Linked DNA regions of Canis lupus familiaris. The protein of the gene in region 1 purifies or fractionates together with the protein of each later gene. This does not show direct contact. Links are inferred from orthologs where the notes say so. Each region holds a gene or a part of one and is shown in the gene's direction. Other genes may lie near its edges. The genes, in order: STX18 and NBAS.

Region 1 (3,181 bases):
CCCTGCCTTGCTGTCATTGCTGGTGGAAGAGGCACTGGACACGCTCCTGGCTCATGGGAGGCTCTCAGTACATGGGAGGTCATGTTTATACATTTTAGCCCTTTACTTTCTTAGGTTACACATAAAATGGTGAAACACAAAGCACTTTTCTGAAGCTAGGGTATGTTTTAAAGCACATGCATTTAAAAGCTTACCTCTCGAACCTAATACAGGAGAGACCAGAGGGAAGGGCCCTGGCCTGTGGCGGCTACTATGTAACGGGCAGCTCTTGTGCTCGTCCCTTCCTGTCCAGCAAGTGGCACAGAAGGTGACACCTGGGGTGGCAGCGGCACAGGTACTGGGTTCCAGTCCTAGTCCTGCCACATGGTTGCTGTGTGACTTCGGGGTGAAGTCTCTGAACCCTGTTTCCCTTTTGCAAAATGAGGATGCGGCCTACCCCTCAGGGCACCGTAAGGATTCATGGGCTCATGTTTATAAAGTCCTGGCCCTTTGTAAGGGGCAGCTGCTAGCTTCTGAGGTCTGTGTGCTTGGGGAAAGGAGATAGTGGTTGGGTCCACCTGTTACTCTTCTTCCACAGGAGGCCGAGATCGACAGCATTCACCAGTTAGTTGTAGGGGCAACTGAGAATATCAAGGAAGGTAATGAAGACATCAGAGAGGTGAGTACTCTCGGGTCCCCCAGGCCGTGGCTATGTGGCAATGAGTCCAGGCAGTAGGGGTGGTCTTGCTGGCAGGGCTGCAGGAGAGCCATGCTGGGGCCCAATCCCCAGGGCTCACCTCCTGACTGTGCTGGACAGTCCTGTTCTGTCCCCAACAAACCCTGGGCACCCGCTGTTACCAAGAGATGTGACTCACCCTCCTCCAAAGGAGCCATCTGAGACACGTGAGGTTACTCTTGGCAAAGGCTGCACCAGCTCCCTAAATCCGTGGATGGGCGCCACTGGAGAAGCTTGTTGAACACCCCCTGCCCCAACCCTAAGGGCCAGGGCCTTGGTTTACTGGGGCCACCACAGCGGACTCTTGAGTGTCCTCGGTCTTCTGAGTGCAGTCCCCGGGTTTGGGTTGATGGGAGGCCACTACTGCCATGTACTGTGGGGAGCCAGCAGCTGGGCCAGCTATGGTACTCGAGGTCGGCGTGTGTGGTTTTAACCCCAGGATGCACATGGGCAGTTGCTGGGTGTTTCCTGGGAGAAATATGCAGGAAGTATGTCTAAGGGCCAGCCAGTAAGGGAAATAAATACCTGTTTGTTTTCTGATGGATTCTAAACCCATGGTTTTGTCTAATTCCGGTAGCACTGACTCTAGCAATACCCTGTTAAAGCCCAGTGCAGGGCGAGTGCCCGCAGACAGGTGGAGCATTTGAGGGCTTTTGAAACCAAAATCCTGTGTGATGCAAATCCCTGTGCTACTGCCCTCCTTCTCCCCCCTCCCCCAGGCCATTAAAAACAACGCTGGCTTCCGAGTGTGGGTCCTCTTCTTCCTGGTGATGTGCTCCTTCTCCTTGCTCTTCCTGGACTGGTATGACAGCTAGTCCACTCTGGCTGTTCCCGGCAGGCGGCGCGCTGTTGTGGGCTCCGGCATCAGAGCAGGGCTGTGAGCCGATTTATCACAGAGCCATTCGGGGGGAGGGGGCTGTGACAGATGTATACTCTCACAAAAGGGACACCCAGACCTGTGGTTTTAAGCCCATGTAGTAGCTGAGAAAGAAAATAATGAACACAAAATGACCTGTGTAGCAATCCTGATGCAAGGTGGGTGAGTTGGTGGGGGGTGGGGATTGTTACTGGCTGCACCTAAATTGGAGACCAATGTGGAAGGGCTGACCAGAGGCCAGGCTCTGGGAGGCTCCAGCCCTGCCCTTCTGGTGGCTTCGGGAGAAGCACTGGTTAATAACTTCTCACAACAGATGATCATTTCTTTGTTTCCTGTGACTTCTCATCTGCCTGGGCCATGTGACAGAATCACTATGTTATAGAAAACGCACCTGTGCCCTGTTGACCTAATAAATGCAACTATAGCTGCTTCATGTCCTATCGGCGGGTCCGAGTGTAGTTCAGTGGACGCCGGCCTGCTGGCTGCAGAAGAAGTGCAGGGATAGACTCTGGGCACTCAGCAAGGGGCCACTGCGCCCCTGGGAGCTTTTGGCTGGAGCAGGAACCTGGCCTGTGCACCTGACCCTCTAGGAAACATGAACAGGACTGACCACCTGTTGGCAGTGGGAAGCACAAGTCTTCTGGAACCACGTCTGTGCAGGAAACAAGCTGGTGTTCATGCCCACCCCCACCCCCACCCCACCCCCTGGTGTGGGTGCGGACAGCTCTGCATTGCTCCCTGCAGAACTGTGTGCAGTACAGTCTGTCACGCGGCCACAGGGAGGGGTCCTGTGTTTTTTATTGGCACAGAGTGAAAATGTCAAAAGTTACATGTGAATTTACAGTCAATAAAATGTCTACTAGAAAGTACAAAGGTATGTTGCCTTAGTGTGTTTACTGGTGTGTCTGTGCAGGAAAGGTGTGTATGTGGTTCTTGCTCTCTCTAGATGCATGCGGCCTTGTCCCACTCATCCCTGGCTCCGAGGCCACGGTCATGGTCAGAACACCCTTGATGATAAAATATGGTTTGGGAAGCACATTTCAGGAAGCAGTAATGGAGTCGGCCATGACCACCATGCTTGTTTGCAACAGATCTTGCACTAGTTGTCATTTATTTTTGATCTACTAAAAAACAGTGAAACTTTTGACATGTCCACCAGAAACAACACATTCAAATAACATGGAAGAAAATGTCTGCGAATGTCTTTTTTTTTTTTTTCTATTTAATCGTCTTACACACTTAGCTTATCTAACTGGCAATTTTGTAAACATATACTTTAATGTCAAGATTCAGGTTGAGACATAATTTTCTTACAAAGATTCGGTGAATTGAAATGTCATCATTGGATTTGCAAGTTGCCACATGAGCCCCTCCCAGCCTTTCCTGCCTGCTTCATACATCAAAGGAGTTCTAGTTCACAAAATAAAAATTGATCTTGGCTTCCCAGCAATTACATTTTCACTTTTCCAACACAAATAAGTTTTTTAAAAACTAACTTGCTAACAGGGCTGTTGATGTGAATATTATTCATAACAGAAGAGAACAAAAAGGCCAAAGGGGTTTCGTTCCTATTTAACACATCACAGAGC
Region 2 (3,823 bases), on another chromosome or scaffold:
TGCTGTTACTGGCAACCTCGATACCTTTCCCTTAGGACACAGAATTTATATCTGAGCATACCACTGTGTTTTTCTGGAAGAAAAGATGTGTGTGGTCAAATTTCACATAACCAATTAGTAGCTTTGAGTTTTGGGTTTCCCAGTTTATTCAAATTTTATATCTTAATGAAAAACATCCTGTCTTGCTATAACTATATATGCTACTTATAATACTTATTTGCTTATATGTGTCTTTGATGATTAAATTTTAAGTTAGCTAATATGTTGTTTCAGCCCTGTGCCTTTTTTGCTCCCTGATGGACTGGTTCGCTTGGTCAATAAACAGATAAACTGGCATTTGGTACTTGCAAGGTAAGGTGTTAAACATTTATGTATTTCTCTGTTAGGATTAGCATCTAAATTCCATTACAGATATTAATTTTGGTGTCCTTTTGGCCTGTAGTGTTGATTTTTTTTTAATATTATATTTCAATTGCCTTTGTCACATATTATTGATACCTTTTAAATGTATTAGTTCAACTATATTGAATCATTTTTATGTATGCTTTGGTACCTTGATATTCCTATTTAATTTTAAGGTCAAAAGTTGGATGACTGAAGATGTGAATACATTTAAAGATAATTTTAACTTCTTAAAATCTTCTTGTTGAAGACTGCTACAACTATTTTTTTTTTTTTTTTTTTTTTGCTACAACTATTTATATAGAATTTTTTTTTTTTCTTTCCTATAAAAGCAATGGAAAACTTTTGGCTGCTGTTCAAGATCAGTGTGTGGAGATCAGGTAATTGTTAATATTATTCATATTTAAAATTTCCCTTGAGAAAATTTTATTTGATTTATGGGAACTAATATTTTTGAAGAGGCATATTTAAAGGGGTTTGACCCACATAATTCTGTGAGGTGCCAGACACCAACTTATGCCAATTACAGGACTAAGTATATTTTGTCAGAGTAGCACAGTCTGCTTCCCCAGATCACTTTGCTGTCATCTGAGAAATTTTACTTTTTTAGTAGACAAGGCGTATCTTCAGAACTCTGGAAGTCACCCTTGTTTGACTGGTTACTGCACAGTCAGCTAAAACAAATGCTTATGAAAGTATTAAAAAAAAGTAGGGGCTACTTTGCTTTGTTGGCATAAAGCTGTAGATGGAATATGGGTCTACTGAAGACAGAGATTCCATATTACTTGAGACCAGTGATATTCTCTGTCATCTTGAGCTATTCAGTGGTATTCTCTACACATCTAGAAGGCTTCTCTAAGATGGGATATCCATGTACTTTTTTTTAAGTAATATTTTTGTTGTGAAAGAAATAGCTACAGTAGCAACTAAGGAAAACTAGTGTTTTTTTTTTTTTTTTTTTTTAAAGATTTTTCTTATTTACTCATGAGAGACAGAGAGAGAGAGAGAGAGAGGCAGAGACATAGGCAGAGGGAGAAGCAGGCTCCCTGCGAGGAGCCTGATGTGAGACTCGATCCCGGGACCCCAGGATCACAAGCTGAGCCAAAGGCAGATGCTTAACCACTAAGCAACCCAGGTACCCCGAAACTAGTTAGCTACAGCAGACTAAACATGTTGCACTACATCAGACTAAACATGTTGCACTGTTTCCTTAAGACCTGACTCTTGGTTTTTAAAAAATAAGCAATGAGCCCAAAATTTCAGGGTGCCTAGATACTAGCCAAAACTTTTTTTCTGACACCTAATTATTCTTGATTAAATATAGGATAATTCAGTTGTTATCACACTGGTTTTAGCTTTCCGTTGTGTAATTTCTTTCTTTTTCCAGTTTCCAAACAGAACAGGACCCTTCAACTTTTGGGGGTGTAGAGAGAGTGTTTGCTTTCACTGGGGTATCAACTTCAGATGCAGAAGCTTTGTTTTGTAATCCTTCTTAAAATCTTCAGAATGGAGATGATGGGCAATAATGACAGCCTTCCATAACCACATTACTTAATTTGGCCAGAATTTGATAGGCAGGTCCTTCTCTTTTTCTACAGCATCCGTAAACATCAAGCTGGCACAATTCTTTAACTGCCATTGTTCATAGGAGTGGGTGAGAGCTTGGTATTCCATTTATTGCAGTAATGTGAAATGTATCTTTTTGAGAAATGTGCTTATGGTGTGACTTTATCAATAGCAGTTAATCGTCAAAATTTCCATCTTTATCCCATGAAATGAGAACATCAGTGGAATGATTTTAGGTGTTAGGATCAGAACATGTATACGGGAATGGGATTGATATTTAGATCTGTGAAGAAGAGTTTGACCAAGTGCTTCTGGAACTTATTAATAAAATTTTTGATGAAGAGAACAAAAAATTGCTTTTATAAAAGGATTTGCTACTGGATTGTTAGAGGGTAGAATATGTCTAAAACTTGTACACATATCCAGCTCTAGGAGTTCACTCCTGTATTCGAGATTAAGTAGTGAGGGAAAATTTCTAGGCAATGGTAGTCATGCTCATCAAGATCTTATTCATCTGGTGTGTAATTTGCAAAAGCTTTTGTTAACGTTAGTATATCTAAGGACTCTTACATGGTAAAGTATGAATTCCACCAGGAAGCCTTTCAGGAACATAATCCATATGGACCTCCCACCCCCATCCCTGGTTATGTGCCAGTCCTTTATGCTCCTGAAATAATCAACACACTATTATACTTAGGGATAGGATAATACTAACGGTGTTGGACATTCTTGTAAGGGCTTAATGTGTTAATTCATTTAATCTGTGAGGTAGGTCTTCTTATTTCCCTCCATTTTAGAAATGAGGAAGCTGGCATTGCTTGAGGATTTGAAATTTGCCATTCTAGCTTCAGTGTTCCTGCTTTTAACCACTAATCTATAGTACCTTTTGATCATGTTGTCTAGCTGTATATACTTGTATGTTTACATGTGGGTTTCCCTGGGTATAGTTAGGACTACTGCTCTGCACAACTCCAGGGTTGTCATTTACTTAAAACTCAGTGTGAGTGGGGGCACCTGGGTGACTCAGTAGTTAAGCATCAGCCTTCGGCTCAGGTTATGATCTCAGGGTCCTGGGATTGAGCCCTACAATGGGCTCTCTGCTAGCGGGGGGTCTGCTTCTCCAACTCCCTCTGTGCACACACTCCCTTTCAAATAAACAAACAAAAAATCCTTAAAAATTCAATGTGAGTGGGATCTGGTGTCTGCAAGAAGCAATGCTGTCCTTTTTCCCTAGCAGTTTATTAAAGATTTTATTTAGAGAAAGAGAGAGGGGGGAATGGACAGAGGGAAAGGGACAGAGATTCTCAAGGAGACTTCATGCTGAGTGTGGAGCCTAACGCGGGCTTGATCCTACGACCCTGAGATCATGACCTCTTGAACAGAAATCAGGAGTCAGATACTTAACCTACTGAGCCACCCAGCTGCCTCTCCCTAGTAGTTTATATTTCCTTGAACATAATAGGTGTTTAGTTGATGTTTGATAAGTGAGTAAGGTGTTTGCAAGTGGCATACATGAAGCTGACTTTGGCAGGTGTTACAGGGCCTAGTTCACTGACTTGCTCAGAGTTGGCAATCTTTTCCTCTTGCTGAATTAATACAAAATGTGTGCATCTAGTAACCTGTAACGAAGAGTGTTTGAGCCAAGATGTGGAATGGTCAGGGGGAAAAAAAAAAAAAAAAAAAGGCAGGGTAGATCCTCAAAGTAAACCCTATGAACAGTGGCTGTGCCTGAATGTTTAAGAGCTTCTTTGTTCTCACTATTCCCATTTATTTTTTGTGCTGTGGTAAAGAACACATACAATGCAAGATTGGCTCCAGTAGTGGTATAGTAGGCATCTGGTATTTGGTAAATATT

What was found.
Region 2: the proteins of STX18 (region 1) and NBAS purify together in Homo sapiens (co-immunoprecipitation; 5 studies listed by BioGRID and IntAct, counting the BioPlex papers as one, with this or other methods). This does not show direct contact. The link is inferred for Canis lupus familiaris from reciprocal best matches to the Homo sapiens genes STX18 and NBAS.

Annotation. Positions count from the first base shown.
Region 1 is NC_049224.1:70,407,797-70,410,977, reverse strand, and holds the end of STX18 (syntaxin-18), read left to right. Parts: intron 1-577; coding exon 578-658; intron 659-1,434; coding exon 1,435-1,530; 3' UTR 1,531-1,958; coding exon of another isoform or gene 1,959-1,959; 3' UTR 1,960-2,469; downstream 2,470-3,181. UniProt on the Homo sapiens protein: Syntaxin that may be involved in targeting and fusion of Golgi-derived retrograde transport vesicles with the ER.
Region 2 is NC_049238.1:11,422,028-11,425,850, reverse strand, and holds part of NBAS (neuroblastoma-amplified sequence), read left to right. Parts: intron 1-273; coding exon 274-351; intron 352-734; coding exon 735-782; intron 783-3,823. UniProt on the Homo sapiens protein: Involved in Golgi-to-endoplasmic reticulum (ER) retrograde transport; the function is proposed to depend on its association in the NRZ complex which is believed to play a role in SNARE assembly at the ER. Required for normal embryonic development.